Linked DNA regions of Cricetulus griseus. The protein of the gene in region 1 interacts with the protein of each later gene in a biochemical or structural test. Links are inferred from orthologs where the notes say so. Each region holds a gene or a part of one and is shown in the gene's direction. Other genes may lie near its edges. The genes, in order: Ube2d2, Rnf216, Mylip, Rnf167, Ltn1, Pja2 and Pja1.

Region 1 (4,029 bases):
CTTTGTTCATCGTGGTGCTGTGTGTGAGATAGGTGGGTATGTGCACAGGAGTGTAAATAGTGTAAATGTTCAGAGACCAGAAGATGGCATCAGATCCTCTGGAGCTGGAGTTACAGGTTGTTATGAGCCACTTGATTCAGGTGCTAGGAGCTGAACTCTGGTCTACAAGAGTTGTTTGCACGATTAACCACTGAGCCATCTCTCTAGCCTCTCTGCCTTTTTTTTTTTTTTTTTTTTTTTTTTTTTTTTTTTTTATGTATAGTGTTCTTTTTGCATGTATGCCTGCAATGCAGGCCAGAAGAGGGCACCTGATTTCATTATAGGTGGTTGTGAGCCACCATGTGGTTGCTGGGAATTGAACTCAGAACCTCTGGAAAAGCAACCCGTGCTCTTAACCTCTGAGCCATCTCTCCAGCCTCTTTTCACCTATTTTTAAGTTGACTGTCTGTTTTTTTTTTGGTGTGTTTGGTTTTTGGAGACAGGCTTTCTCTATAACAGCCCTGGCTGTTGTGGATCTAAGGTTGGCATCAAAGTCAGATCTGCCTGCCTCTCTGCCTCTGGAGTGCTGGGATTAAAGACTTCCCTCCCTCTCTTCCTTCCCTCCCTTCCCTCCCTCCCTCGTTCATTCATTCAGTTTTTTGGTGGTTTGGTTTTGTGTGTGTGTGTTGTTTGTTTGTTTTTCGAGACAGGGTTTCTCTGTGTAGCTTTGGAGCCTATCCTGGCACTCCCTCTGGAGTCCAGGCTAGTCTCAAACTCACAGAGATCGCCTGCCTCTGCCACCCGAGGGATGGGATTAAAGGCAAGGCGTGCACCAGCAACACCTGGCCTTTTAGGTGGTTTGGAATCACAGTTGGTTTAGAGTCTTCATCCTGGCCATAGAAAATAGTCATTATTGCCAGGGGATGGTGGTGCATACCTTTAATTTCAGCACTGAAGAGGCAGAGGCAGACAGATATCTGTGAGTTTGAGGCCAGCCTAATTTATAGAGTGAGTTCCAGGACATCCAAAGCTGTTACACAGAGAAACCCTGTCTCAGGAAAAAAAAAAAAAAAGTTGTATCATACTGTTTACTGTGTATAAGTGAACTTTGGTGTTTCATTTTACTGTTTTTGTTTGGTTTTTGGTTTTTTGAGACTGGATTTCTCTGTGTAACATTAAGGCAAAATGCTCACACATAAAATAAATTGAAGCAGGATGTGGTGGCACATTTTTTTAATCCCAGCACTCAAGACTTGGGAGGCAGAGGTAGGAGGAACTCTGAGTTTGAGACCAGCCTGGTCTACAAGAGCTAGTTCTAGGACAGCCTCCAAAGCCACAGAGAAACCTTGTCTTGAAAAACCCAATAAATAAATAAACAAATAAATAAATAATTAGAAAAACATATAATCTTAAAAGATAAACCAACAAACAATAAAATCAGTTATTTCACCTTTATCAAACAGCTACTCCATTACCTTTTGAAATAAGTCCCTGACTGTCCTAGATCTCCCTGTGTAGACCAGGCTGGCCTAGAATTCAGAGATCATCTGCCTCTGCCTCCTGGTGCCGGGATTAAAGGTGTGGGCCACTACCACCTGGCATAAATGAACTTTGATTAGGCAGGGAATGATCGGTTTCTACAGTATAGGTGTGATATGAATATCATTAACATGATTTTCTTTTTCTTGTTCTTTTTTCAGTGTTTCATTGGCAGGCTACAATAATGGGGCCAGTAAGTACTCACTTTAATTCCTTAATGGTTACTTTATGTGATTTATTCATTTTAAATCTCACTTTCTTATCATCAACAGAATGACAGCCCCTATCAGGGTGGAGTGTTTTTCTTGACAATTCATTTCCCAACAGATTACCCCTTCAAACCACCTAAGGTAATTGGAATACGATCATTGCTTTTAATATGCTCTGTATGATATTAGTAAATCAATTAGAGATTTCTTTTTCTTCAGGTTGCATTTACAACAAGAATTTATCATCCAAATATTAACAGTAATGGCAGCATTTGTCTTGATATTCTACGGTCACAGTGGTCTCCAGCACTAACTATTTCAAAAGGTAATGGAGTTGTTTGATATCAAGGTGAAATAACTGATTTTATTGTTTGTTGGTTTATCTTTTTTGAGATTATCTGTTTTTCAAATTGTTTTATGTGTGAGTGTTTTGCCTTAAATGAATTTGCACCATGTGCCTGGTTCCCCCAGGTGACAGAATAGGGTGTTGGATCACCTGTTACTGGAGTTAACAGACAGTTGTGAGCCACTATGTGGGTACTGGGAATTGAACCTGGGTCCTCTGAGCAGTCAGTGGTCTTTTTTTTTTTTTTAATTTATTAATTTTTTATTTTATATGCATTGGTGCTTTGCCGTGGGGGTCAGGTCCCTTTGAACTGAAATTACAGACAGTTGTGAGCTGCCATATGGTGCTAGGAATTGAACCCAGGTCCTCTGAAAAAGCAGTCAGTGCTGTTAACCACTGAGCCACCTTTCCAGCCCCCACAGCCAGTGGTCTTAACTGCATACATCTTTTTCTTTTTTTAATAACTCGTTTGTTTTTTTAAATAATTTTTATTTATCTGCATGTAAGTGTGTGAGGCTGTCAGATTTTGGAGTTACAGTTGTTAGTTGCCATGTGGGTGCTGGGAATTAAACTGGGTCCCTTGGGAAAACAGTCAGTGGTCTTAGCCACTGAGCCATGTCTCCAATACAATGAAAGAGTTTTAACATTCAAGAATAGATAATCCTTGGTATGATGCCAGGTTGTTGATTGTGATACTCAAGAATAGGTAGACTCCTGTTATAGTGGTGTATACACTGTTATAGTGGTGTATACACTGTTATAGTGGTGTATACACTGTTATAGTGGTGTATACACTGTAATCCTAATGCTTGGGAAGTGGAAGCAGAATGATCAGTAGTAGTTCAAGCTGATTATTCTTTGCATAGCAAACTTGAGGCTAGCTTGATAGAGTGAAGTCCTGCCTTAAAAGTGTAAACAAACAAGCTACCAGTGAGAAGATGATGTGATTATTGGCTTCATTTATTTATTTATTATTGTCTGTGTATGTTGGGTAGGGAGAGTGCAACAGCACTGCATGAAAATCAGGACAACTCATATAGTTATTTATCTCTTTCCACCTTTGGATTCCAGGAATCAAACTCGGCTTGGCTGGCTATTCAGCAAGTGGTTTACATGATGAACCATTTCACTGGTGCCCTGTTTGATTATTTTTGTTGGGTTTTTTGTTTTTGTTTTTGTTTTTTTTTTGTTTTGTTTGTTTGTTTGTTTGGTTTTTTTGTTTTGTTTTTTTGGTTTTTCAAGACAGGGTTTCCCTGTATTGCTTTGGAGCCTGTCCTGGAACTCCATCTGTAGAGTGGGCTGGCCTTGAACTCACAAAGATTTACCTGCCTCTGCCTAACGAGTGCTGGGACTAAAGGGGTGCACCACCAAGGTCCAGCCTTTCTGTTACTATTTTAAGACCGGTTTTACTCTGTCTTGGTCTCCGCTTGTGGCAATGTGCCTGCTTTGGTTTCTATAGTGCTGGGACTACAAGTGTGAGCTGGTACCTGGTTAGAATTTATTCCATTTTTGAGACAATCTTCTATATCCTGGACTGTCCTTGAAGTTTCCTTGTAATGGAGTGATGTCAGACAACTAATTTTGTCTGTTGTTGGAAATTTGACAGCTGATATTCTCTGAACTTGAGCTTCTAAAAATTGAAATTCACTGGCACTGCCAAGTGTTCTCAATCTAGGATTTAGAAGATCTGCTTTTGTTCTGCTAAAAACTGAACTCAGAACAGAACCTCATGTATATTATGCAAGCTCTCCACCATTAAACTAACCTGCATTCTCACTTCTAGTCTTAACATAGGTTCATGTCTTAGATTGGGTTTTTGTGTGTTGGGGGATGAGTAGTGTTTGTCTTTCCCTTGGAAACAGGGTCTTACTATACAGCCTTGGACAACCCTGAATTCAGAGATCAGTCTCTTCACCTGTCCCTGCCTCCTGAATGCTGCCTAGCCTCTGATGTTTA
Region 2 (4,615 bases), on another chromosome or scaffold:
GAGGTTAGGTGAGGTCATGAGGGTGGGGCTCTCACAGTGACATTAGTAGCTTTATAAACAGGAAGAGACACCAAAGCTAGCAAACTTACTGTTTTTGACAATGTAATGCCTTTTACTATTTTATGGTTCAGTAAGGAGTTTCCTGATCCACAGTATCTTCTGGTCTTTGAACTTTCTAGCAAGATCATAAGTTGAAGGTCAGGCTAAGCTATGTTGTGAGTTCAAGGCCAGCCTAAATAACCTAGCAAACTCTTATCTCAAAATTTAAATAAAGTAATAAAGGGGGGGACTGGATTGACAGTTTGCCTAGCAAGTGTGAGACTGGGGGTCAATTTCAGCAACACACACACACACACACACACTCAGGAATGCATGCATGCACGCATATACTTTTGTCTAATAAAACCTAAAACAGAACTGGTGAGATGGCTCAAAGGTTAAGAGTGCTAACAGCTCTATAAGAGGACCGGAGTTCCATTTTTAACATGCATAATTCATGACTCAGAACTAGCTCTAGGGAATCTGATGGCCTCTTCTAGACTCTGAAGTTATCTGCCCTTGTACCACACACACACACACACACACACACACACACACACACAATTTAAAAACAAATTAAAACAAAACACGGTGACTTAAGTTTGTGTGTGCCACCACCCCCCCACACCGGAGACAGAGTTTCTCTGTGTAGCTTTGCAGCCTGTCCTCGAACTCATTCTGTAGACCAGGCTGGCCTAGAATTTACGGAGAGCCTCCTGTCTCTGTTTCCCGAGGGCTGGGATTAAAGGCTTGCACTACCACTGCCCAACGGAAAAAATTAACATCTTTCACTTTCTTTGAAACATTTTATGTGTATAGGTGTTTTGCTTGCATGTTTATCTGTGCACCACTTGCATGCTTAGTGCCCACAAAGGCCGGAAAGAGGTCGTCGGATCTTCTGGAACTGAAGTTACAGACCATTGTGAGCTGTAAGGTGGGAGCTAGGAATTAAATCTGGGTCAATGCTCTTAACCCCTAAGCCAGATCTCCAGCCTTTATTTGAATAGAATTTAAGAATACCTTATTCTGGCTTGTCGGCGGTGGAGCATGCCTTTAATTTCGCACGGAGGGGGCGGGGGGGGGGGAGGCAGGCGGATCTCAGTGACTTTGAGGTCAACCTGGTCTATAAAGTAAGTTCCAGGACAGCTAGGACTGTTAGACAGAGAAACAGGGAAACCCTGTCTTAGGAAACAAAAACAAACAAACAAACAAAACAACTTTATTCTTTACCAAATACCCTTGGGGGAGAGTTGAGTCATTTGACCTGTCTCACTTGGTACACAGAAACATCTCATAAGAGGGCAAATAAGTGGTTAATCTGTTGATTCCATGGTCAGCGGCCCACCGCAGCTTTAAGATGAGACAAAGACCCTAGGGTTCAGCTGTTCTTTTGTCCTCCAGTCGCAAGGGGGAGTCAAGGCTCTGAAGCTGTGGAGCCCAGATGGAGGCCCGCTAGGCAGCCATCTCTACAGTCTCGCTCTCCAAGCCCCTCCTCTCCGGCCCTCCGGGTGCCTCTATGGTTCTTCCTGTCATTAGTCGGGAGGGGGCGCTGCGCGCAGGCGCGAGGTGGACGCCGTGGCGAGGCCGGAAGGAACCCAGTAGCGGCCTCGGCGGCGGTAGCGGCGGCGGCGGCTGCGGCGCCTGCGGCTGAGGCGACGAAGCTTTTCAGGCGGCTGTTTCAGGTGACTTGAGACTCAACTCCGAGCGCCGAGTGGCGCTCGCGGAGCTGGGCTAGTTGCGTGGCGAGTACGTGACGGACGCGCGCGTGGGCTTCTCGGGCCTCGGGTCGAGTTGAGGAGAGTGGCCTCCCGCCAGGGCGCCTCTGGGGTGGGGGCGGGGGCTGAGGGGCGCGTTCGCGCGTCCCGGGGGTCCGGGGGGCCGCAGGGGTGTCGGGAGGGGAGCGGCGGAGACGACCGCTGGCCGGCCGGCTCTCCTCCCGCCACTTAGGAAGTTTCTCCGGCCGGCCTGCGGCGCGGGGGGCGACGAGCCGCTCGCTGAGAGACTGTGCGCTGGCGGCTCTCGCTTCGGTGGCGGCGCTCCCTACCGCGGCCTGGAGAAGCGGAAGAGGCGGCGGACTGTTGACTTTGAACTCCAGCCCGGGCTAGTTTGGGCCCCCTCGGGTCCGAGTTGACGCTGTCATTCCAGCCGGCGCTCCGCGGAGCAAGGGGACACACAGCTTTTGCAGTCGGAGCCCTGGTGCTCCCGTGGCGCGTGGCACGCTGGGTGAGCGGCGAGACCCACGCTCGAGTGAACGAGGCGGCCCCCTTGTTGCTCATCCGTGATCCCAGGCTCCCCGTCCGTCTAAACGGGTGCAGGGACCTGGGACCCTCTCCTCCATTGTGTTTAGTGTCTTGGTAGCCGTTACCCTTTTGGAGTTTGGTGTCTTTGTTTTTTTTTTTTTTTTTTTTTTTTTTTTTTCTTTTTAAGAGTCACTGCATAGCCGAGGCTAACCTGGAACCTGAGAAGTGGATGAGGTTGTCCCCTGGAACTCAGGAATTCACAGATCTCTGCCTTGGGAGTAATGGGATTAAAGGTGTAGGCCAACTAGTCCTGTTTTAATGTTTTGTTTGTTTTTTAGATAGGGTCTGGCCTCGAATTTAGATATCAGCTTGTCATTGAGTTTGAGTGCCACACATACCCCTTTTTGGGTTTTTTGTTTGTTCTGGTTGATTGGTTTGGGTTTGACTAATGATTTTTTTTGGCGGGGGGGGGGGCTTGCTTACAGAGCAGGGGTGAAGGATTAGGGTAAAGTTTCACCCCCATCATGGATGGGGGGATTCACCCCCATCAGTGACTTTATGCATCTGCTTGGTATTTTAACGTATGCAGAGGAGCTTGTGCCCGCCCTTGCTGGGTGGAAGGGAGGCACAGTATGTTGTTTGTTTTGAGACAGGCTTTCTCTGTGTAGCCCTGGCTGCCCTGGAAGTCATTTTGTAGACCAGACTGGCTTCAAGCTCACAGCGATCTGCCTGCCTCTGTCTTCCAAGTGTTGGAATTAAATGCATGCCCCACCATGCCCTGTAAGAACAGTATTTTTATGTCCTCATCTCAGTTTAGTTTATCCAAATTAAGAAATAACCAAGCTTTGTGTTCTGTTTGTGTCCAAATGAACTTCATGAAATGGCTGTGGATCTTGAACCTGGATTTTGGGTCTTGAACCTGTTGCATTAGGGACTTGTCTAAGAAGGACAAGAGCAGCTATTAAAAAGATCTTGAGAAATCTAATAAAATTGTAGCTTCTGGAGATCCAAAGTTTATGAAACCTGGTGAGAATGGCTTTGTTGTTGTTGTTATTTTTGCTTTTTTTTTTTTTTTTTTTTTTTTGAGACAGGGTTTCTTTGTATAACAGCCCTGGCTTCCCTAGAACTCATTCTGTAGGCCAGGTTGGCTTTGAACTCACAGAGATCCACCTGCCTCTGCCTTCAAAGTGCTATGATTAAAGGGGTATGCCAACACCACCAGGTGGGTGTTTACTAACAGTGAAGTACTGTTTCCTATGTTTACTGTATTCTAGGCTTTGCCATATTCTAGATCCCTCTTTGTCATCCTTCATCTATATAAAACTTTTGGGCGGGGAGGGGGTGGACAGAAAGTTTCTCTGTAGTCCTGACTGTCCTGGAACTCACTGTATAGATTTGCCTGCCTCTGCCTCCCAAGAGCTGGGATTAAAGGCATGTGCTACCACATGAGTTTTTTGAGTTTTTTTGAGACAGGATTTCTCTGTGTAGCTATAGCTGTCCTGGGACTCACTCTGAGGACCAGACTGGCCTTGAACTCACAAAGATCCACCTGCCTCTGCCTCCTGAGTACTGGGATTAAAGAGATGTGCTACCACCACCCGGCAAAAGCTTTTATTTAGTTTGTATATGGACACTTAAGTATGCTTAATGGTCAGAGGACTTTTGGAAATCAGTTCTTTTCCACCACATGAGTTCCCAGGTTTTGAACTCAGGCTGTCAGGTTTAGCAGCAAGTACCCTTAACCTATTGTGCTAACTCACCAGCCTTATCTTTCCAAACTTGATGCTAAGTACTACATAAAACCCTAAGCACCAGGCATTGGTGTCGATTGCCATTAATCCCAGCACTCGGGAGGCAGAGGCAGACAGATCTCTGAGTTCGAGGCCAGCCTGGTCTACAGATGGAGTTCCAGGACCGCCTCCAAAACAATACAGAGAAACCCTGTCTCAAACAAACAAACAAAAATCCCTAAGCGTTTTTCATATCACTCTTCTTAGTCCTGTCAGTGAGGTAGATTCTCCGGTGTGTGTGTGTGTGTGTGTGTGTGTGTGTGTGTGTAGGGAGGTGCTGAAAAATAACAAATGGAATAAGGTTCAAAGCTGAGTCTGGAACTCATTTGTTTGCACAGTTCTTGCCTCTAACTATCCTACTCTACCTTGTTAATGCTATCCTGTGGCGATATATTATTTATGATTTATTAAAACTTGCCTGAGGATTCAGAAAGCACCATCAGCTACAAGCCATAAAAGCGGTTTTTTGAGACAGGGTTTCTCTGTAGCTTTGGAGGCTGCCCTGGAACTAACTCAGTAGATCAGGCTGGTCTCAAACTTGCAGAG
Region 3 (4,458 bases), on another chromosome or scaffold:
CTGGCTGGCTGCCTGGAATGAAGGGAATGAGCAGCAGAATGAAGGGATGGACGGATGCAAGCAGTGCGGCTTTGCCAGAATATGTTTGCCCCTAATTGGTTTAAGCCAAGGGCTATGTTACAATCCATCCCTTCTCGGATACTTTCCACACCTCAGAAATAAAGATAACTGAGCCCAAATATGAGGTTCACTGCCTGAAAACAAATGACCACCAGGACAGAGACACAGTCATTGGCAGGCAGGGATGGCTAGATTGCTTCACAGGGATGCTGAGGGAAGGCCCAAAAAATATCCATTCTACTCTGAGAATACCAAGCTTCAGAGAAATGAAGTTTTCCAAAGACCCAAGGCTGAAACCCACATCTCCTGGCTTATCTTATAAATCAGTAGTTCTTAATGCTGTGACTCTTTATGTTCCTCATGTTGTGGTGACCCCCCAACCATAAGTTGCTACTTCAGAACTGTAATTTTTCGACAGTTATGAATCATAATGTAAATATCTGTGTTTTTTGATGGTCTTAGGTAACCCCTGTGAAAGAAAGGGTCATTAGACCCCCCTCTCCCAAACTGGTTGCGACCCACAAGTTGAGAACCACTGTTACAAACCAAAGAGGCAGGCAAAGTAATTGTATAGGCTAAGAGAAACAGGCAATGAAGTCATGGCCTTTAACCATTAATCTCTTCTACTGAGACTAAACTCCACCCCCACCCCTGCTGGGTCCTGAGAGGAGCCCTTTACCTCTAACATGGAGTAACTTCGGGCTCTCCCAGGGAAAGTATCAGGTGATAGTGAGTGACTTGATCCTAGATAGAATGGGTAACGCAATGGAGGCCCCAGCACTCCGCTAGGTGTTTCGGTTTAGCAGAACCCTTGCATTCAAAACTCTTGGCACGCGTTTATGTAAGAATGGTGCTTTTAAGATCAAGCTACCCAGCTTGTTATTGGTCAATTGCAAAAACTTTCCTGCTCAAATTGTGCGTTTTTGCCACCCTCAGTGGCAAATCCCGGCCGAAAAGTCTTAACTTCAGGCTCCGGCTTGCCCGCTTCCCTCTGGGCTCTCACAAACCACCTGGTTGTTGGAGTGGGAGTCGTGAGAACAGTGGCATCGCGGGAGCGTTTGATCACGGTCCTCTTTCTTGAGCAGGGACAGAAAGGCGTCCCTTGGAGCGGCAGGCGACAGCGGGCTGGGAGGAGCGTCGCCCAGCGGCAGAGGCTGTGACGGTACAGGCGTGGGGGTGGGGGCTCCCACCTCCCGCAGCTCTACAGGCGGTGCCGGGAGGCGGGGCTCCAGTCTGCCGGAGCTCCGTATTGGCCGGCGGGGCTGGGGAGGAGGGGCAACTACGCCGTGATTGGCGGAGGCCGGCGCCGGAGGGGGCGGGGCCGCTATAAAAGACGCGTGCCTGTCTCGGAGCAAGCAGTCGGGCTGTCCGAGCGGCGCGGCCGTGGAGCACTCTGGAGTGGGAGACCGCGGGGGGTGGCGGGGACGCGAGAGGAGGCTGCGTGGGGTGCGTGGGGTGCAGGGCAGACGGCCGCACCGCTTCACCTTCCTCGCGGAGCCCGGAGGCGACTTAGAGCTACTGCAGTGAGGCGACAGCCGCGGCGCACACCCGAGAAGAAGCGGCGGTGGCGGCGGCCCCAGCCATGCTGTGCTATGTGACGAGGCCGGACGCAGTGCTGATGGAGGTGGAGGTGGAGGCAAAAGCCAACGGCGAGGACTGTCTCAACCAGGTGAGGGGGACGATCGGAAAGGGGATCCCCACTTGTCCCCGGGAAGCCTGGGGCCTCGGGGATGGTCCTCCGGAGCCGGGCGACGTTGCAGCAGCGGCCCGTGGAGCGCGCCCCGGACGCCAGGCTCCAGCCTCCTCCCCGCGGGCGGCGGGGGTGGGGGGCATAGAGGACGCGTCCGGTGGGGGGGGATCCCGGGCCTGGAAACCCGGACACTGCCAGGAGCTGCAACCCTGTCCCTTACCTCGGCACTTTTCTCTAAATAAGGTGACCAGGCACACCTGCCGCAGGTGTGTGCGTGATGCCGCCCGTGGGGTCCTCGCAAAGCCCGGCAGCGCCACCCGCGTCCCGGGATGAGGTGGCTGCAGACAGTCACGGGCCCCGGGGTTCCCTAGCTAATCAGGTGGGCCCATGTCTCTAGCTGCTTCTCCGAAAGAGAGTTCACCTGACACTCCGGGCTTGCTGGGGATCCAGAGTATCCTTGGTAATTTGCGGGGAACGGTTCTGGCAGTCTCCTGCTTGTGGTCTTTACACGTGTGTTTTCTTTAGAGTGACTAAGGCTCTGAACAGTATTTGCATGGTGGATATGGCAGGCACATTTGATCCCCCTGAAACACTGTGCCTTCGGGACCTGTAGACCTGAGCTGATTGGAAAGCCACTTGTGAAGCTTAGCTGACACTTGTGGCATGCTTCCTCAACGTGTTTGTGTTTTTGGAATCCAGATGGTTAGAACTGCCCAGATAATAAGCTGCCAGATCAGCTGTGCAGATGGTGCTGGTGGAAGGAATTCCAGCGATTGGAGTAAGAAATAAAATACCCTTGGGTTCTTCCTTCTCAGCCTTTTGTGAAGTCTGTTTTAGGGGACTCCTTACCCTGTGCAATTGGCCATACCCTAGAAATATTCAAGCAAGGCCGAGGCTCCTTTGGAGCGCTGTGTTTTGGCATCGCTGGTACCTTAAAACGTTGTTTTTCCATTCTACCACTGGAATGTTAACACGGTAGGACTGGAATTATAACAAGGTCAAAGTAGGTGACTGCCCTTCACGCAGATGGAGCCCTTATGTGTGCATTGCCTATATCTTCTGCCTTTGGTTTTGTTTTTAGGTGTGTAGGCGATTGGGGATCATAGAAGTTGATTATTTTGGGCTGCAGTTCACCGGCAGCAAAGGTGAAAGCTTATGGCTGAATTTGAGAAACCGGATCTCCCAGCAGATGGACGGGCTGGCACCTTACCGGCTCAAACTGAGAGTCAAGTTCTTTGTGGAGCCCCATCTCATCTTACAGGAGCAGACAAGGTAAAGTGAGGCGGAAATAAACCAGTGTCAAGTACACCTCTGATTCCACCTAGGAGGGGCTTCCAGAGATGTTCCCGGGCTAATTTGACTTCCTGAAGAGGAAGTTCAGGAAATACTTAAATTTGCCGTTGAAAGCACAGTTGGCCTGGGTGGGTTTTCCAACTCTTGTTTTGGTTATACACGCCTCTATATTATTAATGGGAGAGCAGAGTTGACTTCTTACAAACAAAAAGAAAACCCCCAACACTGACTTCCTGACAGCTATGTCTAATGCCCGCTAGTAACCCCGCCTCAGCAGTGTTACTACAGGTCATTGTCGACGGTTCTAACTGAAAGCAGGAAACAGTTCCTCTTGGGTTACTTAAACTTGGTCAGTCTTCAGCCTAGTGTCAGATTACAGTGTGTAGCTGAGTGCTCTGTCTGGCCTCCTGCAGATTTTAAAACTTTTTTAAGTTTCATGAAAACTTAATAAAAGAACTCTTTGAAGGCCACTGTAACTGAACTCCAGCCTACAGCTATATTAAACATGATTGTTGGGCATTAGATTTTTTTTCCCTCCTTGTTAAAATAAGTTCCACCAGCCATGGTAGAAACTGAAGTGTGTGGTCTCCTTCTTTAAACGACCAAACAACAACAACAAAATGTGTTTCCCTCACAACTGGCTGTTATCCTTTTCTCAAAGATGATCTAAAATAGAAAAGTGATGTTTAATATTTGTTATTGAAATGCAAGAGACTTACAGTGGCATACTGAAAAAGGGAAATGATTGCTTTTAAAACCACAGCAAGCTGTGGGTCCCAGCACTGATGTTTCCCATCCTCCTGTGGCTTGGAAAAGCGCCATGCATGTGAAAAATGCGATCTTGTAGATTTCAACTCATAATCGGGGAACAGGATCCTCGGAGAGGTTTCAGCATACTGTGTTTTGTTTATTTGCCAGACAAACGGTGGAAACGTTTTAAAATACCACTCGTTTGGATTTGAAATATCCCCTTTGTCTTGCTGTGGAACTTTAAAAGTGGGGGGAGATCTTGTTTATGAAGGAAACTGGCATAAGGAATTTTTAGTGTTTCTGAAAATACCTTACGAATATTCATGCAATAGCATGCTTATAGATGCTGAGCTGTCTCTGTTAGTCACAAGAGGCTCTATCTTTCTTTAAACTTTTACTCTGTATGTGTGTATGCACTGTGTACGTGTACATGCCTGTGCTTGCACACACATCTGTATTCCTGTGGAGGTGACAGAACAACTTTAAGGAGTTGGTTCCCTCCTCCCACTATGTGGGTCCCAGAGATTGCACTCTGGCTGTCAGGCTGGGAGCAAACATTTTACCCTCTGAGCCATCTCACTAGCCCCATCTCTTCTTCTCTCCCTCCCTCTCTCTTCCCTCCCTCTATCCCTTTCTTTTTTTGGCAAACAGTTGTATTGTGATGC
Region 4 (4,479 bases), on another chromosome or scaffold:
CGGCCATCAGCAGTCATCCTGATAAGAGCCACCTCAGCTGGCGTTCCCACAAATGCACCAGTTGCACCTGCAGTCATACCAATCAGGGCTTTCAGCAGAAAGCCAGGGGGTGTACCGTCAGCCCCAGTCAGGCGCTCAAACAACACGGTATAGATGCCAAGACGAGTGGTGGTGTAGGTAGCCTGGCGCAGTAGGCCAGCTGACAGCCTGAGGAACAGAAAGGTCAGCAAAGCCTATCGGGCCAAGGTCTGGACCTGCCAACCCACAACCTCGCTTCCCAACCGGAGGCCCCAGTACCCAGTGTAAATGCCCTTCAGTCCTTCTGCCTTCAGGATGCTGGTGAGGGCATGGAAGCTGGTTTTGTACTCTCGAGTCTTGGCCCCTTCACCACTCAACTGCATCCGGTTCTTCACCAAGTCCAGAGGCTGCACAAAAACTGTAGCACCCATCCTGGAGTAAGGCAGGAAAAGGAGACAGAGCTCAGCTGTTCCTGCTCTATTAGTGTCTACTGCAACCTGGCAGCCAGAAGTTACGAAGGTCAGGGCCTGACATGCAGCTAAGGATTCAGGAGGCTGGTGGGCATGTACATAAGTGTGTGAACGAAGGGGCGATGTGCCAGGCAAAAAAAAAAAAAAAAAGTCCAGTTGTCCAGTAAAGACCATGCAAATCAAAACACTTCAAACAGTTCCTTAGAGCTCAAATAGAATTAGATTACAGGCAGTCTGACTAAGGAGGGGTGGAGAGGACATCCATAACCTACGACTCCAAGCGGTCCTCTAACAACGCCTCTAATAACCTAGACCCACCACACAATCAGGCACGGTGAAGCAATGGTGGTGGAAACACGCGGGGCAATGACTCTTGAATGAAGCCAGCCCTGTAGGGGCCTGCGATGGGTGAATAATCCTGTCAGCCCACCAGGGAGGTCGCAATACTCTGGACATTATGGTGACCCCGCACCCGCTCCATTTACTGCAACATACCCCGAGATGCACTGGGCCCAGTTACTTGCGCCCGTCCCTTCCTCCTTTTTCCCATCCCTGGGGCCTGAGCTTACCCAGCCAGGCCCCCAAACAGGAACTTGACCGACTTAGGGGAGGTACGGGGCTTCCCGTCCATCCGGCCATCCCCGGGACTCGCCGTCGCCGCCATCGCCCCTTGATGGCCCTCGGCTTTGGGTCCCGTGCACGCACAGCCCCGCTCGCGCCCAAGGTGACACCAGCGCGCAACAGGGCGAAGGCGCGCGCGCGCACGCCCCTCCGACAGGCAAGTCTGGCTTGAGCTGGAAACTGGGGGGCGGACGGGGGGGGGGGGAGGACCGCAGGCGCCTAGCGCAAAGGAGGCCGGGAAGGAGGCGGGGCTAGTATGCGTAAGCGAAGGGGCGTGGCTGATCTAGGAAGCCTCTTTGTAGCCCCCGCCCTTCCCGAATTGGAATCGCGGGAAACTAGTGTTTGAAAATCTCGCGAGAACGAGTGAGACAGTCGAGTTAGGGCCGGCATCCTCTCTCTCGCGATAAATTTCAGCTTAGCGATGGGGTGGCGGTGGTGGTGGTAAGCACTCTCGCGATACTTGGAGGTACCGCAGCGAGCAGGAGGCAGAGAGGTTTGTAAACAGGGCAGCACCAAGATTTCGGGCGCTGAGGGGAAAAGAAAATTAGGTCGTCTCCTGGGCATCGGAGCTCCCTCCATCTGCGCAGGAACTCTCTCCGTGTCTAACATTTCTTTCAACCGGCCTTTTAGGACCGGAAGTCCTCCGTCCTGAGCGTCCAATACTGGAAGCGGCCTTTCTTTACCGGAAACCCTTTTCCAGGGGATCGGAAGACGGCCTACCTGGCCGGAAGTCCCACCTCTTTGAGATTTCCCCCACCCTTCCTGAAGTTTTTCTGTTACCTGTTTTTTGCCTTCGTTTCTATTCTCCGTTTTATTTCTGTAGTAGAGAAAGATACATTGTCTCCCTCCCAGCTCCACTAAGCTGGTTTCATACCGCACTTCCCGAGTCGGAGTTTTGCCCCGACGCCCCCATGTAGCTGAGAAAGTAGGACCTGGGGGTGGTTGGACCCCTGGGATCCTTAAGGAGGCAGAGAGGTCGCAGAACTCGGCTCCTATCAGGACGCGACCTCCTCAGCCTTACCCCTCCCGCTGCCATGCACCCTGCAGCCTTCCCGCTTCCTGTTGTTGTGGCTACTGTGCTGTGGGGAGCATCCCCTATCCGAGGCCTTATTCGAGCGGTGAGTCTAAGGGGCGGATGGGGCGGAGGGTGCCGAGAAGGGTTTCCAGGCCGAAGAGAAAAACGGACTAATTTTGTCTGCAGACCTCGGAGCACAATGCCAGCATGGACTTTGCAGACCTCCCAGCTCTATTTGGGGCTGCCCTGAGCGAGGAGGGACTCCAGGTGATGCTCTCCCCGTTTCCTTATAGTCTCTATCCTGGGCAGGGGTTGAGTAGCCGTGCTCTGGATCCAACTGGAGGTAGGAAGTAGTCGAGTTAGCAGCGGGATGCGTTGGGCTGTGGATAGAACTCAGTGATAGGGTGCTTTCCTAACACGAGTGAGACTGAATCACCAATACCAGCTCCCCGCCCAAAACCTAAGTATATGACCGTGTCCAATGTAGAGTTCAGAATCTAGAGGCAGAAGGCAGTGTCCGAGAACTCCCAAGTTTAAGAGGGACATTGGAGAGTGAATTAAGATAGGAAGCAGGTGCTTATCAGTAATGTCTCCAGAGCTGTTTACTGTTTGTATGAATGGCTGTGGATGGTATTTTGTTGACCCTTAGTAAAATGGGTAATGGAAATTAACTTAGAACTACTGTGTTAACTGGTAAGTTGAGTTAAGCATGTCTGTAATAGTTTATTACAAAGTTCTTGCCACATAGGAAGAACTCAGTTGGACCACGGATAGCAATAGTTGTTTCTAAAGTGAGGGTTATTGAAAGTGCTGTATGTACACAAAAAGACGAATCTGAAAAAAACTTGGTGAAAATGACATGGATGAGTAGCAAGCTGAATTATCAGGAAACTGGAAAAACAGAACTAAACTAAGAATTTGAGAAGTCGAGAGAGCCTCTGGTAAAGAGGTGATATGTTCTGTAATTGCATCTTCGGGAAGCCAAGAGATTAGATTCTGCTTTGTTTGGTTTTATAGATAGGTTTCTCTGTGTAACCCTGGCTGTCCTGAACTGTGTATACCAGGCTGTCCTCCAACTCAAAACACCTGCCTGCCTAACTCTACTTTCCAGGTGCTGGAATTAAATGCATGTATCACCATGCCGGCCTGAGATGTAGATTCTGATTCAGGTGGGATGCTTAGACCTCAATGAGGGTAGAGCTACAGAATACAGATGGTGTATGTATCACTATATTCGATAGGCCCTGTGGGAGGCAGAATGTAAAGATGGAAAATCCAACTGTTTGCTTTTATTCCTCAGGGGTTCCTTGTGGAGGCCCATCCAGAAAATGCCTGCAGTCCCATTGCCCCACCACCCTCAGCTCCGGTCAATGGGTCAGTCTTTATTGCACTGCTTCGAAGATTCGACTGCAACTTTGACCTCAAGGTTGCTAAATGTGGAATGGGAGCTGGTAAACATGGTAAATGACACTGGAAGCAAAGAAAGGCAAAGTTTATGACTGTTGTCCGTGCTTTGTCTTCTTAGGTCTTAAATGCTCAAAAAGCTGGGTATGGTGCAGCTGTGGTTCACAATGTGCATTCCAATGAGCTTCTGAACATGGTGTGGAATAGTGGTGAGTAAGGCTGGGGAAACTGCACCGATGGACTTTCAGTAGGAGGACTAAAGGATCAAAAGAGGCCTTTGGGTTCTTTGGGTGGGATGGGCAAAGTGTCAGATGCCAGTTCCAGGGAACTGAGTGGAAGGCTAAATCCCCACTATCCTGCTCCCTACAGAGGAAATCCAACAGCAGATCTGGATCCCATCTGTATTTATTGGAGAGAGAAGTGCAGAGTACCTACGAGCCCTTTTTGTCTATGAGAAGGGGTAGGACATAATGCTTTCTTCTTCCTCTTCTCCCACTCTTCCCCAAGCCTCACTACCCTACCCACTCACACTCAGGCTCTTCCTTTCTCTTCACCAACGCCTTGTCCCAATCCAGTTACCTGGTTTTGCCTGGTTCCTGGCTTGAGACTTGTCTTTCTTTCTTAGGGCCCGGGTGCTTCTGGTTCCAGACAATAGTTTCCCCTTGGGCTATTATCTCATTCCTTTCACTGGCATAGTAGGACTGCTGGTTTTGGCCATGGGAGCTGTACTGGTAAGTAGCAGTGGGAAGAAATTACAAGGCCAGACTGTGTCTGGAGAGGGTTAGTGAGGTGGTTATTGGATTTTCCAGTGTTTTCTTTTCTTTTTCTTTTTCAACTTAAGCCTGGTCCACTCTCCCTTACTCCTAGGTAGTTCGTTGTATCCAGCACCGCAAACGGCTCCAGCGGAACCGACTTACCAAAGAACAACTGAAACAGATTCCTACCCATGAG
Region 5 (4,029 bases), on another chromosome or scaffold:
TTTACAAATGTTAGTATTTGTTTTTAAACCACATTTCTATTTCCAATAGGATCATGATCGCCGGGTTCGAGAGGCTACACAGCAAGCTTTTGAAAAACTTATCCTTAAAGTAAAGAAGCACTTGGCTCCATATTTAAAAAGTGTAATGGGATATTGGCTAATGGCTCAGTGTGATACATACCCACCAGCTGCAACTGCAGCAAAAGATGCATTTGAAGCCGCTTTCCCTCCGAGCAAGCAACCTGAAGCCATAGTGTTTTGTAAGGAAGAAATTACAAGTGTGAGTTTTTGGAATCATTCTGTACCCGTGTTTCTCAAGTGTCTGAAGGCTCTCAGGCATACAGTGGTAGCTCTTTTTGCTAGAAACAAATTATGTCTCTCTTGTCATACACAATCAACATAAAAGGTTTCTGTGACCTCAGAAGGTATGGAGGGACCAGCACGATGGCTCAGTGGGTAAAAGTGTTCCTTACAACCCTCATAAAGGTAGAAAGAGCTGACTGCGCAGCTGTCCCCTGACCTGCACGTGTGACTGCATGTTCTCTGTGGGCCAGTGATGGGGAAGGAAAGCAGATCCTAATCTCTCTCGGCTTTACTAGGTGACGATCCCACCTATGGTCCTGTAGTAGTGGAATAACGAGTAACAAATGACCACGAGTGTTTAGTGGGAACTTCTCTACGGGAATTGGAGCTGTCTTTACCACAGTAGCAGCCAGTGTAGGGAGAGATAGGAAGAGAAAAATGGGTGAGGTTCAAACCTCTTAATTTTGCTGTCTGATTTGGTTAGTCGGTGGTTTGAGGGCATGGGAATTTTTATTTATTTAATTATTTATTTTTATTTTTTTGAGACAGGGTTTCTCTCTGTAACCCTGGCAGTCCTAGAACTCACTCTGTAGACCAGGCTGCCCTTGATCTCAGATCTGCCTGCCTGTGCTTCCCAATTGCTGGGTTCGCGCCACCACTGCCCGGCAGGTATGGGGAGTTTTTAAAAAGTAGATTTTCCCTATATCTGATCATCATTGACAGTTCCATAAGATCTCAAGGTTTTGATGGTTTTCTCCTTCAGGTACTACAGGATCACCTTCTGAAAGAAACTCCTGATACCCTCAGTGACCCTCAGTAAGTTACGTTGTTTCTAAGTAACACAGGAGGCATTTACTTTGTTGGTGTCATGTGTAATTTCAGTTTGATGTGTTCTAAGAAGGAATTGCAAATGCAGGTGAAATTACTTCAAAGAATGCTACATGGTGCCTGCTCTGTGCTTTTACTTGCTGGCTGTTACATTTGAATTTTTGGAGCTATATATGTAGTTCTATTAGAAAGAATTTTACATTTTTTTCTCACATTTACCTTTTGGCAGTCATAGCAGGAACTGTTTTAAGGTTTGGCATACTTGAAGTTATTAAGTAGTTCTGTTAGAGAAGTAGTAAAATGTTTTATTTACCTGCATGTTGTGTTTTTTTTTGAGACAGGCTTTGGAGCCTGTCCTGGTACTAGCTTGTATAGACCAGGGTGCTCTCTAACTCACAGAGACCCTCCTAACTCTGCCTCCCCAGTGCTGGGATTAAAAGCATGAGCCACCACCACGCAGCATACATGTTGTATTGTGATTAAGCTTTCAAGATTGCATCAGGTAGTCAGGTGCCTCACCGCCCTTGGTAGAATTGCCCAGCACCTGCTGCTGAGCGAGCATTGTGCTTGTGTTCCCTTCCTGCATGTGTGGGAGTGAAGCATTTGCTTTCACTTGTATTAACTGCAAGATGTGTGACTAAAAGTCTACCTGTCTTGCAGTCAATCCTAAAAGCTGGAATTCAAGCCCTAGGATCTGCATGGTGGAAGGAGAGAAACTATTCCCCAGTTTGTCCTGACTGTTGTTGTTTGTTGTTTTTACTCTTGGGAAGCCTGCCACCCAGCTCCCAAATAAATCACACATGGAGGCTTACTCTTAATTATAAATGCCCAGACTTGTCTTGACTTATTTCTAACCAGCTTATCTGAACTTAAATTAGCCCCATCTACCTTTTTGCCTCTGGGCCTTTTCCTTCTCTTACATCTATATATCATATTTTACTTTCACTCTTAATCTGTGGCTGGCTGTATGGCTAGCCCCTAGTATCCTCCTCTCCTTTTCTTGCTCCTTCTCCTTTTCTTTTCTTTTCTTTTTTTTTAAGATTTTATTTATTTATCATGTATACAACATTCTGCTTCCATGTATATCTGCACACCAGAAGAGGGCACCAGATCTCATAACAGATGGTTGTGAGCCACCATGTGGTTGCTGGGAATTGAACTCAGGACCTCTGGAAACGCAGCCAGAGCTCTTGACCTCTGAGCCATCTCTCCAGCCCCGCTCCTTCTCCTTTTCTTCCCAGATTTCTCCTTTTTTGTTCTTCTGCTGGCCAGCCCTGCCTGTCCTTTTTCCTGCCTTGCTATTGGACATTCAGCTCTTTATTAGCCTATCAGGTCTAATAGCATAGCTTCACAGTTAAACAAATGCAACACATCTTTGCATCATTAAACAAATGCTCCACAGCATAAACAAATGTAACACGTCTTAAAATATTCTACAGCAGACTTCCATATGTGTATGTGTATAAAAAAATCCAAAAAAAACAAAAGCTATTTATTTTTCAAATGCAGAACTGTTCCAGAGGAGGAGAGAGAGGCTAAATTCCATCGAGTTGTAACGTGCTCCTTATTGGCGCTAAAGAAACTGCTTTGCTTCTTACCTAACAATGAGCTCGATTCTCTGGAAGACAAATTTAAATCACTTTTATCACAGAATAAGTTTTGGAAGTATGGAAAACACAATGTGCCTCAGGTATTGTAATAATTTTTATTTTAAGACTTCTATAACTTCCCCCTAATTCTGCATTTATGCTCATGTTTATTGTTTGTGTTTAAAATTATGCAAGCACATCTTTGTAGTTAATTGGTCATTCAGGACTTAGTTCCTCTTTTACTGCTACTCTGTTTCCACCTTTGTCGTTGGGTTGAAGTGGCTGACTTGCTTTATGGGGTCTGTATTTTCACTGTTCATTCAGGTGGAATTAAAACTAGACCACACCATGGAATTCCTGGCAGTTTAGAATTAGTGCTGTATGCAAGACTTGTTCAGTACACTTCACGCCTTTGGTCACTTTCCCTTTCTCCACCTTCTAATGCTTTTCATGTATGCATTTTGCTTGTGTAGGCCAGTTGCATTATCCATAGTCATTTCTACAGTGTTAGCACAAACACTGAATGAGAGAATACTGGAACATTGTTCCTAGGGGAAATACAAGGTTAGATTCCTGTGAGTTGTTAGTTACAACAGTTTTCTCTTGTCTTTCTTTTTTCTTTTTCTTTTCTTTTCTTTTTCCATTTTCATTTGAGATTGGTTTACCCTGTTGTAGTCTGGCTGTCCTGGAACTTGCTTTGTACACTAGGCTACAGAGATCCTCCTGCCTCCAGGATTAAAGGCTCATGCCATCACTGCCCAGCTCTCAACAGTTTCTTTAATGAGTCAGTATAAAACATTAATTTAGGTGTTTCTGTTGAAAACGATTCATTAACCTTGAACTGATGACCAGGCACTGGAATTCATGCCTGAATTAGGTTTATTTAACAGTCTTTTTTCTGTGTCACACAAGAAGTTTTAATCTGTGTGTGTGTGGTGTGTGTGTGTGTGTGTGTGTGTGTGTGTGTGTGTGTGTGTGTGTGTGTGTGGTGTGTGTGTTGCGTGTGTTGCTGGCTGTGGTGTCTGTTGTCTTGTATATGCGAGTACTTCCCCGTTTAGCTACGAGATCCACACTGCAAACATTGACTTTGTAAGTCATAGCTGAGTCTTGTTGCACTTGAACGCTACATTTGGAGCCACATTGGAAAAAGATGAAACGATGCCTGGTTACAACATGAGAACTGCTTCTCCTTCCCCATCTCTTGCACCCGACTCTTAGTGCTGCTACATATAATTTTAATTAAAATGTTCCATTTAGGGCCTGGAGAGGTGGCTCAGAGGTTTAGAGCACCGGCTGGTCTTTCAGAGGT
Region 6 (4,174 bases), about 250 Mb from region 1:
GTCACCTTCAACAGCATGGTAGCTTCGCTGCCCTTCCTTCTATCAGAGAGATGCATTTGGGAAAGGCCAGACTTGCAAGGACATGATGTGTCTTCTGTGAGGTGACAGGTCTCTGGGCTTCCATTGGTTTTAAAGCTGTTCTCTTCCCATCTTCTGTCCCAGGTCTGTGGTTAGTTTGTGTTGTTACTTAGAAGGCACATAATTGTCTCTTTTTAGAAAGGGGTTACCTGGCTAATAAAGTAAGGTCTGAAGTCAGTCTGGTTGATCACATCTGTCTACAATAAAGTGAGGCTTTCATGTATGTATATAACAAGGATGGGCCTGATGGGGCTGTAATTTTCTGAGCCAAAATTGTGTGGGGTCTCTTGTATGTGCCTAATAGATAAATTATTGGGTTCAGGTCATTAATAAGCTTACCTGACTGATTTCCATGAGACAATGTACTGATTCGTTGCTCAGCTTTGACCACAGCATCCATGCCAAGCATGGAAGCTGTAAATAAAAATTCATTGAGTAAAAGGTGAGTTGAATCCAAGGTACAAACATGATCATAACGTGCTGTTTTATATAAAAGAAATTTGAGCTGGGTGGTGGTGGTGCACAACTTTAATCCCAGCATTCAAGGGGATGGAAGTGTGGCAGAGGCGGTGGATCTCTTGAGTTTGACCAGCCTGGTCTACAGAGCAAGTTCCAGGACAGCCAGGGCTACACAGAGAAAAAAGACAGAAAGAAAAGAAATTTGGCATTGAAATTTTTGAGATGGCATTAAATAAAAGGCATTAAAATTCTGTCTTATGCCGTGTGGGTGTGAAGTGTATTTTTTGTTTTTAATACTTGATTTGGGAGCTGGAGCAGTTAAAAGTGCATGTGCACTTAGAGGAGCCGAGTTTGGTTCACACCCGTGTCAGGTGATCACAATTGCTGGAGCCCTGCTCTGGAGGAGTCTGGCACTGCCTCGTGGCTCCACAGGCACCTGCTCCTACGTGCATAGACACACACACACACAGAATGTAAGGCAACAAATGTGTTTTTAAAGGGCACTTGATTTGTTTGCAGCTAATGATGCTATGATTTTCTATGACGATAATGCTGGTCTATTGTTGTGTTGTGTGTTAACTGGTCTGTCTGTCTGTTTCCCTGCAGTCGGGGACCTGCCCTGTGTGCCGCCGTCATTTCCCACCTGCAGTCATTGAAGCATCTGCAGCTGCTTCCTCTGACCCTGACCCTGATGCCCCGCCTGCAAATGACAATACTGCAGAAGCCCCATAAGAGAAACATGGAAATGACACCTGAAGTCTATCACAGTAAATCTGCAAATTTCCTCTAAATCTGATGTGCAAATAATTATATATAAATATATTTAAAATGCTATATATAGTATATGCCATAGTTTAGAAAGAGAATATTAACCTTTCTAAACTGAATTTAGGTTTGCAGAGCATACTAAATATTTGCAAGCTGAATGCTGAAGCAGTGCATCCATTTCCTTTAGTTGGCTACATCTTAGACGTAACCCCGCTGAGACGTTAGGTAACGCAATATTCAGTGAACACTGGATGCCTTTAAAGAAAGGCTAGCAAAGCATGTGAATGGTCTGGTGTGCTCAGTGCTCGGCACAGTTACATGTGTTTGGCTTACGAAACACTGTCTAAGCCCTTATCAGTCTGCTTCTACTTGTTAAATACTTGAAGGTCCGGAACACTCTTGACATCCTCGTTTAAGAAGCTGGCTCTAGTTACTTTAAGGTCGTTTGGTTTCAGAAATAGTTTAGAAGGTCTGAGGACTTGCACATGGCCATGTTTGTAACTGTGTCACCCCAAATAAAAATTGCACAGCTTTTAGGTGATCACATGAGCAGGCAAGTCTCTACAGATGAGAGTGTAATAGGTGGCTTACAGATGTCAACACCAGAGAGGAGTGGCTGAGACGGCACAACACGGGAGCACACAGCGAGTGCACATCTGCCTGTCCATTCTGATACAGCTGCAGGAATACCTACAGAGCTTCTGAAATGCACAGCTTCATTTCAGTTGTGTAATATCTGAGTAGTCATTCTTTCTTCTTTCTCCATTCTTAAAAATAAGTGAATTTTCACTGTTGGCACATTTGAGGCTTCACTATAAGGAATATAACACTTGCATTCTGATTTTTGCATATATTGTAAATGTGGCTGGTATAACAGCAAAATACTGTGTATCCTTTTATGGGTAAAACAAGTGAACATTGCATGCAAGTAATGTGGTGAATTTGTAATTTAGGGGTTCTGGGGCTTCTGTGACTTTGGATGCTTACATTCAGGCCTTAATGTTGCGCTAGCTAGCATGCTTCCTTCTGATGTATATAGTCAGCATTGTACAAACTAATCTTTGCTTGTTTTCTACTCTGTGGTCTTTCCATACCATATTTCATGGATGATGAGTCAGTGTCAAGAAGTCACACGAGATTCACATTAGTCCTCATGTGTACACTGTGGAGGTTTGTGGGTTGTGTGGTTTGTTTGTGTGTTTTCTTTTATGTACTGTTGATTAGTTGTGGCACTTACTGATTAAACTTACATTGCTGCAGATTGCTTTGTAACAAGCCACATGTTATGTTTAGTCAGTAGTAAGGGACCTTGATTTTTATTCTCCTAGATAGCAGCTGTCCCAAAGAAAATATTTCTTCTTTGCCTATTAAGATTTAGCTATTATCTGCCAGTTGTTAAGAGGTTTGGTTCCAAACTCAAGCAGAGAGTTGAACGTAAGATAGCTGTTGTCCTTTTTGCTTTCCATCTGTTACCGTCCTTCATTGTTGGCTCCCAGCTACGTATACACACAGCTGCTGTGAAGAAGAAAGCTGAATAAGACTTGCTTTAAATTTTTTAAAAAGAAAAATGAAGTTCTAGAACTTTGATGGTAACAAGCCAGTATAATCTGAGGCTGACAAGTTCAGACCCCAATATATTATTTCATCTTTTTGCAAAGTTAAGAGTATATGAAGGTAAATTAGAAATAGTAAAAATATTGATAAAATGTCATTTATCTTATTTCTCTATTTTTTGTTGTGACTTGGCCTAATAATTTTAATTTTTTGAACATTTTATTTCTTGTAATACGAATGCTGATATTTAAAGTTAGACTCATGTGGATTTCTTTTGTTTCTTAGTTGTTTATCTCTAAGCTAACTAACTTCTAAGATTATTTGTGATATGGATTTATATATAAGCTGTTAAATATATATGAGCTGTTAAAATGGAATGCAAGGTTTCAAAAGCCCAGGTCTAACTGTAATGATTGGTTTATTGTTATACAATCCCAGCCCGCCATTTTCCGTGTAAATCATAAACAATAAACAGGATATACTCGGTGGTCATTTCTAATATTTAATTGTGTAATCCTATCACTTCTGTAGCATAATCCTTAAAGGATTTAGAGTCAATAACAAAGAACCCAACTTAAAAAGAACACTAGACAGAGCAGACAGGGACTGTGTAGAGAGGAGCTGGTGGGCTTGTGGTGTTCCAGAGGCTCTGAAGGAGGGGCTGCTGCCCTTTTCTGCCTGATACCCTCAGCAATCCCAGGCTTCTGCAGAGCCCACTTCTGACATCCTCAGCAATCCCAGGCTTCTGCAGAGCCCACTTCTGGCCTGACGGAGACTGTGGAGCCTTTGAGTTCTTGGTGCTTCACTCTAGTGGCTGTCTCCAGACCCAGTGCAGGACTGACTGTTGTCAAGTATGCCCACTGAGGATGACCTCGTGGCTCACAGACGGCTCAGGGATTGTTTTTGAGTCAGTTGGGTAGTGAATAATGTCCACATTATTAATTAACAAAAACAAATTTTGTACAGAAGTGTTAGAATTCCATTTCCTAATACGCATGTTAGAAAAATACAGTTGAGTTAAGAATAGCAATGCTGTGCATATGCCCCTGCGTAGTACCGAAGAACTTCTCAAATGGCATCCTTTGGTCCAGCGGTTGCTGGTGCAGCCTTTTGTACCCTGCGAAGGCAGGGTTTCTCTCCAAAAACAGCATCATTCAGATCTCTGTAGAGCATACAGCTCTTACCTCTTCCTATCCTCCCTCAGGCTTCACTGTTTTAAGTGTTCCATGATGTCTGACCCAGACCCGTCTAAGGCTGACTCTTCCATCATTCACTTAAAATGTTTGCTCACAGGCTAAGAGTTCTTCTGTAATCT
Region 7 (4,554 bases), on another chromosome or scaffold:
AAGGAAAAAAGAAATGCTCCAATTTTTGTTTTGTTTTGAGACCCTGGCTGTCCTGGAAGTCTCTATATAGACCAGACTGTCCTGGAAAAAAAACATAAATCCTCTTGCCTCTGGAGGGATGGGGTCAAAAGCATGAGCTACCATGTAGAGTGAATTTGATTTTATGTAGTTAATAGTCCATACTACACACTGTTAAGTGTTGTTTTCTCTTTCTACACACTTTGTTCTTGCTCACCCTCTCGTTTTTTGTTTGTTTGTTGGGTTGTTTTTTTTTTTTTTTGCCCTTTTTTGGATTTTGCCCCCTCAGGGTCACACAGTATTCTTTTAATAGGAAATACCCATACTGTTTGTATTGTCACCCTTGAAGGGTTTTTGTTTTGTTCTACTACACGTTGTATTTCTCCTGAGAGCAAATCTTTGCTACTACTGTGAACTCAAGAACTCTACATTGATCTGAGTATCTATCCATGTAATTCAAAGAGTTCAGGAAGGGTTTATCTGTGACTTACTTTGTTTTGTTTATTTTTCAGAGACTGGGTTTCTCTGTGTAGTCCTGGCTGCCCTGGAACTGGCTTTGTAGACCAGGTTGTCTTCAAACTCAGAGGTCTGCCTGCTTCTGTGTGCTGGGTTTAAAGACATGGGCCACCACACTCGGCCATTTGTTTGTTTGTTTGGTTGGTTTTGGTTTGTCGAATCAGGGTTTCTGTGTGGCTTTGGAGGCTGTCCTGGAACTAGCTCTTGTAGACCAGGCTGGTCTCCAAAACACAGAGATCCACCTGCCTCTGCCTCCCAAGTGCCAGGATTAAAGGTGTGCGCCACCATCGCCCAGCCCATCTCTGACATTTTAAAATGTGTTGCAATTCACAAAATGTGAACCTGTGTTGCATGTAATGTAATGGATAGACAAGCCTGGTTTTGTGACGACAGTACTATATTTCACTGCAAACATCTTCGGTTTGCCTCAGACACCAGGCTTAAAAAAATTGATGTTTCTACTGCAACTCTAAATACCGCTATAGATTTTAATATCCACAGAAAAACCATAGCATGTAACATAGGATGTGATATAGTAATATAATTAACTATAATGTTAGAATTAATCAGAATGTTCAGATTTCAGTTTATTAAAGAAAGCAACTGAAGGAAGGTGACAAACGTTTAACATTTGTTAGAACTGTTACAGTTCTTGCTGCCTTTGTGTTTGTGTGTGTGTCCCTGAAAAAGCTGAGCGTTTCAAACGAAATAACGCTTTCGAGCCCACCCGGATTTGCAGAGGGCAGTAGCCCGCCCCCGCCACATCAAGGGGGCGGACTCGCGCTGACGTCACGGCCACTTCCGCCGCCGCAGTCCCCGCCTGCCCTAGTGCTCTTTAGCGGGGGAGGAGCCGAGACCCGGAGCAGCAGCGGTGGTGGTGGTGGCGACCGAAGGTCCATCGGCTCTGCAGCTCTGAGCACGCGACTGGCCGGGAAGGTGAGTGCAAGGCAGCCTGCTGTAGTAGCCCGGACAGGTGGGCGAGCCTTGCCGGATGGGCATGGGCAGAATTCCAATGACCCCTTTGCGGGTTTATCTTGGGAGCGGGGTGGGGCAGAGGGGACTTGACCACATGCCGAGGCCTGTGGCCTCATTGGGGACCGCATCCCTTGCTGCCCAGCTCCTGCCTAGCCTTATGGCCCTAGCCCGAATGGCCTTCATGGCTGTCGGAGAGAGGTCTGGTGGTCGCGGCCCTCTGCCACTCCTACCTGTCTCTCCTTGCAATGCTCTTGGCGTCTTTGAGAGCACTCTATAGCCTTTCTTCACCCATTTCGCTGCTGTTATGTATAATGGCACAGGGCTAAGATTTTTAGCTACAAAATATGTGCTCAATAAAATAATTACTAAAAGATAAACAGTATTCTGAGGGAAAATCAGGATTCCTACACGAAACCTTTTTCTTTCTTTTGGCCTGCCACATTGATTTGGGTTTGCCCTTTGAGCTAAGGACGTATTCCTGTCTCTTATTATGACATTGCACCCCCTCCTCTGTGTCGCACGCACGCGCGTGCGCGTACACGGGCACACGCACAGGCACACACAAACCTCCTTTGCAGTCTGGTCCCTGTCCCTGCATCCTCAAGGTTTCCGAGAGCTCCTCTGCGCATGTGCAAACAGGCAAGCACACACACCCTCTCTCACACCCTCTAGTTCCTTCCTCTCCCCTCACCTACCTCCTATCTCTAGAATCTTCCCTGTCCTTCTCCTCTGACCCGTGTTTGAGAGTGTATTCTCCCTCCCTCCCTCCCCCCACCCTCCCCTACCCCCTTCTCCCTCACCCTCTCTCTCTCTCATCCCCCCTCCCTCCCTGTCCCTCTCTCTCTCTCCTTCCCCTCCCCCTCCCCCTCTCTGAAAAATGGCCTCCCTGTTCATGTCTGCTATACACACACATCTAAAGACATCTTCATCCTTCTGTTGCTTTCCTTACATACATGTACACATAGGAAGCTGGCTCACACACTCTTCTCAAATGTTCTTTTCTCCTCTGTTCCATACTTCACCTTCACACACAAATCCTCTGGGGACAGTACCCCCTTTCCTGTTTGCCATACTAACATATTCTAGCATTCTTTAGTTGCTGGCCTCTGTATTCCATCCGCCACATACATCCTCTGTGCTTTTTTTCTGCCCCTTGTTGCCTCCCATATTGACTTTTATACACTTTCCTCATTGCTACCAATACCCTTTCACTTCCTTGCCTGTGGAATGCAGGCTTCCCTCTATAGTTCCAGCTGCCACACTTAACAGGAGCACTGCCTCTTCTCTTCTCTCATACTCACAGCCTTCCCCTCTAAAACTGCCCCACCCATTCTTGTCATTCCCACCCCCTACAGAAATCCCTGCATTGCAGGATTGCTGGCCCCTTATCCACCTGTCTCTCTCCTGACAGACACTGCACTTGTGCACGCATACACAGTGAACTATATTTTCAGTTCTGTTCTAAATTGTATTTCTTCTCAATATCTGCAGTTCTCAGAAAACTACATCTCCCCTTTCCCCCCAAAAAATCCAAGCTCACAGCGGGCTTTACTCTTCCCATATTTCCACAGCACATCTACATTCTAAGCATTCAATCACCGCCCCCCCACACACATGCTCTCTCACACACACATACACACATACTCTCTCCCTCTCTCTCACACACACACATTTTCACACACACACATACTCTTTCACACACACATTCTGTCTTATTCCCCACCTTTCTTGTGAACTCAGTCCTGTAATCATTTTGCAAACACTAAAAATGTGTTTCAGGTCTACACCAGTCACAGGAATGCTACCTCAGGCCTTAAAAGACAGTGAAACTAATTTTAAAGGGCCCCTATCTCTCTCTTACCTGCCTACTGAAGGAAAACTAGATCTCCTTATTCTGTAGTTCTGACCTGGGAGCAAGAGCCTTTGCACCTGCATCCCAGCTCTGGTGGAATCTCAGAGTCAGCCATGGGTCAGGAATCTAGCAAGCCTGTTCGGCCCAAACCAGCAGGAGGGTATCGGTCCAATGCAGTCAGGAGTTATGGAAGGAGACATGCTTATGTCAGTTTCAGGCGGTCCACAAGCCATCAGGAAAGGATTGCCAGCCAGAGAAGGACAACATCCGAAGTCCCAATGCACAGATCAGCCCCCAATCACACCAAGAGGAGCCGGTCACCATTTGCCAGCACACGACGTCGTTGGGATGACAGAGAGAGCTCTGGAACCAGCCTGAATGTTGAGAATGGGGATTATCCCAGGTATCCTCCAAGAGAGTACAGGGCCTCCGGGAGCCGAAGAGGATTGGCTTATGGACATATTGGCACTCTGAGGGCACGTGATAGTGAGGAGGAGGGGGCTGGGCCTGTTGACAGACTGCCAGTGAGAGGGAAAACTGGCAAGTTTAAGCATGATCCAGAGAAGGGGGCAAGAGCTCCCCGCTTCTCTAGTGTTAACCATGATGTGAAAGAGGGGCTTGGCAAGGTAGAACCCCCTCCTGCTGCAAGGTGCTCTGCTAGCAGAGCTGAGTTCTTGAAGCAAAGTGGTATGGCCTCTCAGATGTCCTCTGCTGAAGGCAGGGCAGTTGCAAGGGGTAACAACAGCTTGGAGAGGGAGAGGCAGAATTTATTAGCACGTCCTAGCAGGGCTCCTGTGAGTATGTGTGGTGGTGGTGGGGAAAACTCCCCAAAGAGTGCAGAGGAGCCGGTGGTAAGGCCAAAAGTCCGGAATGTGGCGACTCCAAACTGCATGAAACCAAAAATATTTTTTGATACTGATGATGATGATGATGTAGTACCACAGAGTACTCCCAGGTGGAGAGATGCTGCCAGTGCTGATGCTGGCGAAGCCCATGCAGAGGGCCTAGCAAGAAGAGCCCGAGGTGAGGGTGCAGGCAGCTCCTCTGAGCCAAAGTATCCTGAAGACAAGAAGGATAACAGGAATGGGCAGGTGAAACCAGAGAAAGTGTCAAGACGGCGACGCACCATGGCTGACTCTGACTTCTGGGCATATACTGATGACTACTACAGATACTATGAAGAAGATTCTGAC

What was found.
Region 2: the proteins of Ube2d2 (region 1) and Rnf216 form a complex in vitro, tested with the Homo sapiens proteins (2 studies listed by BioGRID). The link is inferred for Cricetulus griseus from reciprocal best matches to the Homo sapiens genes UBE2D2 and RNF216.
Region 3: the proteins of Ube2d2 (region 1) and Mylip form a complex in vitro, tested with the Homo sapiens proteins (2 studies listed by BioGRID). The link is inferred for Cricetulus griseus from reciprocal best matches to the Homo sapiens genes UBE2D2 and MYLIP.
Region 4: the proteins of Ube2d2 (region 1) and Rnf167 form a complex in vitro, tested with the Homo sapiens proteins (4 studies listed by BioGRID). The link is inferred for Cricetulus griseus from reciprocal best matches to the Homo sapiens genes UBE2D2 and RNF167.
Region 5: the proteins of Ube2d2 (region 1) and Ltn1 form a complex in vitro, tested with the Homo sapiens proteins (2 studies listed by BioGRID). The link is inferred for Cricetulus griseus from reciprocal best matches to the Homo sapiens genes UBE2D2 and LTN1.
Region 6: the proteins of Ube2d2 (region 1) and Pja2 form a complex in vitro, tested with the Homo sapiens proteins (3 studies listed by BioGRID). The link is inferred for Cricetulus griseus from reciprocal best matches to the Homo sapiens genes UBE2D2 and PJA2.
Region 7: the proteins of Ube2d2 (region 1) and Pja1 form a complex in vitro, tested with the Homo sapiens proteins (3 studies listed by BioGRID). The link is inferred for Cricetulus griseus from reciprocal best matches to the Homo sapiens genes UBE2D2 and PJA1.

Annotation. Positions count from the first base shown.
Region 1 is NC_048595.1:201,719,431-201,723,459, reverse strand, and holds part of Ube2d2 (ubiquitin-conjugating enzyme E2 D2), read left to right. Parts: intron 1-1,679; coding exon 1,680-1,711; intron 1,712-1,790; coding exon 1,791-1,868; intron 1,869-1,946; coding exon 1,947-2,052; intron 2,053-4,029.
Region 2 is NC_048597.1:79,660,649-79,665,263, reverse strand, and holds the start of Rnf216 (E3 ubiquitin-protein ligase RNF216), read left to right. Parts: upstream 1-1,565; 5' UTR 1,566-1,721; intron 1,722-1,762; exon of another isoform or gene 1,763-1,785; intron 1,786-4,615.
Region 3 is NC_048596.1:265,108,189-265,112,646, forward strand, and holds the start of Mylip (E3 ubiquitin-protein ligase MYLIP), read left to right. Parts: upstream 1-1,501; 5' UTR 1,502-1,642; coding exon 1,643-1,729; intron 1,730-1,743; exon of another isoform or gene 1,744-2,495; coding exon of another isoform or gene 2,496-2,528; intron 2,529-2,542; exon of another isoform or gene 2,543-2,725; intron 2,726-2,831; coding exon 2,832-3,022; intron 3,023-3,045; exon of another isoform or gene 3,046-4,458. UniProt on the Homo sapiens protein: E3 ubiquitin-protein ligase that mediates ubiquitination and subsequent proteasomal degradation of myosin regulatory light chain (MRLC), LDLR, VLDLR and LRP8. Activity depends on E2 enzymes of the UBE2D family.
Region 4 is NC_048600.1:84,457,968-84,462,446, forward strand, and holds the start of Rnf167 (E3 ubiquitin-protein ligase RNF167), read left to right. Parts: upstream 1-1,475; 5' UTR 1,476-1,602; intron 1,603-1,739; 5' UTR 1,740-2,143; coding exon 2,144-2,227; intron 2,228-2,310; coding exon 2,311-2,467; intron 2,468-3,235; exon of another isoform or gene 3,236-3,312; coding exon of another isoform or gene 3,313-3,342; intron 3,343-3,424; coding exon 3,425-3,498; coding exon of another isoform or gene 3,499-3,550; intron 3,551-3,649; coding exon 3,650-3,737; intron 3,738-3,897; coding exon 3,898-3,988; intron 3,989-4,153; coding exon 4,154-4,259; intron 4,260-4,395; coding exon 4,396-4,479. Other genes in the region: Slc25a11 (mitochondrial 2-oxoglutarate/malate carrier protein), read right to left, coding at 1-207, 298-450, 1,058-1,152.
Region 5 is NC_048597.1:9,913,435-9,917,463, forward strand, and holds part of Ltn1 (E3 ubiquitin-protein ligase listerin), read left to right. Parts: intron 1-49; coding exon 50-280; intron 281-1,066; coding exon 1,067-1,119; intron 1,120-2,640; coding exon 2,641-2,821; intron 2,822-4,029.
Region 6 is NC_048595.1:453,410,956-453,415,129, reverse strand, and holds the end of Pja2 (E3 ubiquitin-protein ligase Praja-2), read left to right. Parts: intron 1-1,143; coding exon 1,144-1,269; 3' UTR 1,270-3,360; downstream 3,361-4,174.
Region 7 is NC_048604.1:70,903,538-70,908,091, forward strand, and holds the start of Pja1 (E3 ubiquitin-protein ligase Praja-1), read left to right. Parts: upstream 1-1,372; 5' UTR 1,373-1,470; intron 1,471-3,409; 5' UTR 3,410-3,474; coding exon 3,475-4,554. UniProt on the Homo sapiens protein: Has E2-dependent E3 ubiquitin-protein ligase activity. Ubiquitinates MAGED1 antigen leading to its subsequent degradation by proteasome. May be involved in protein sorting.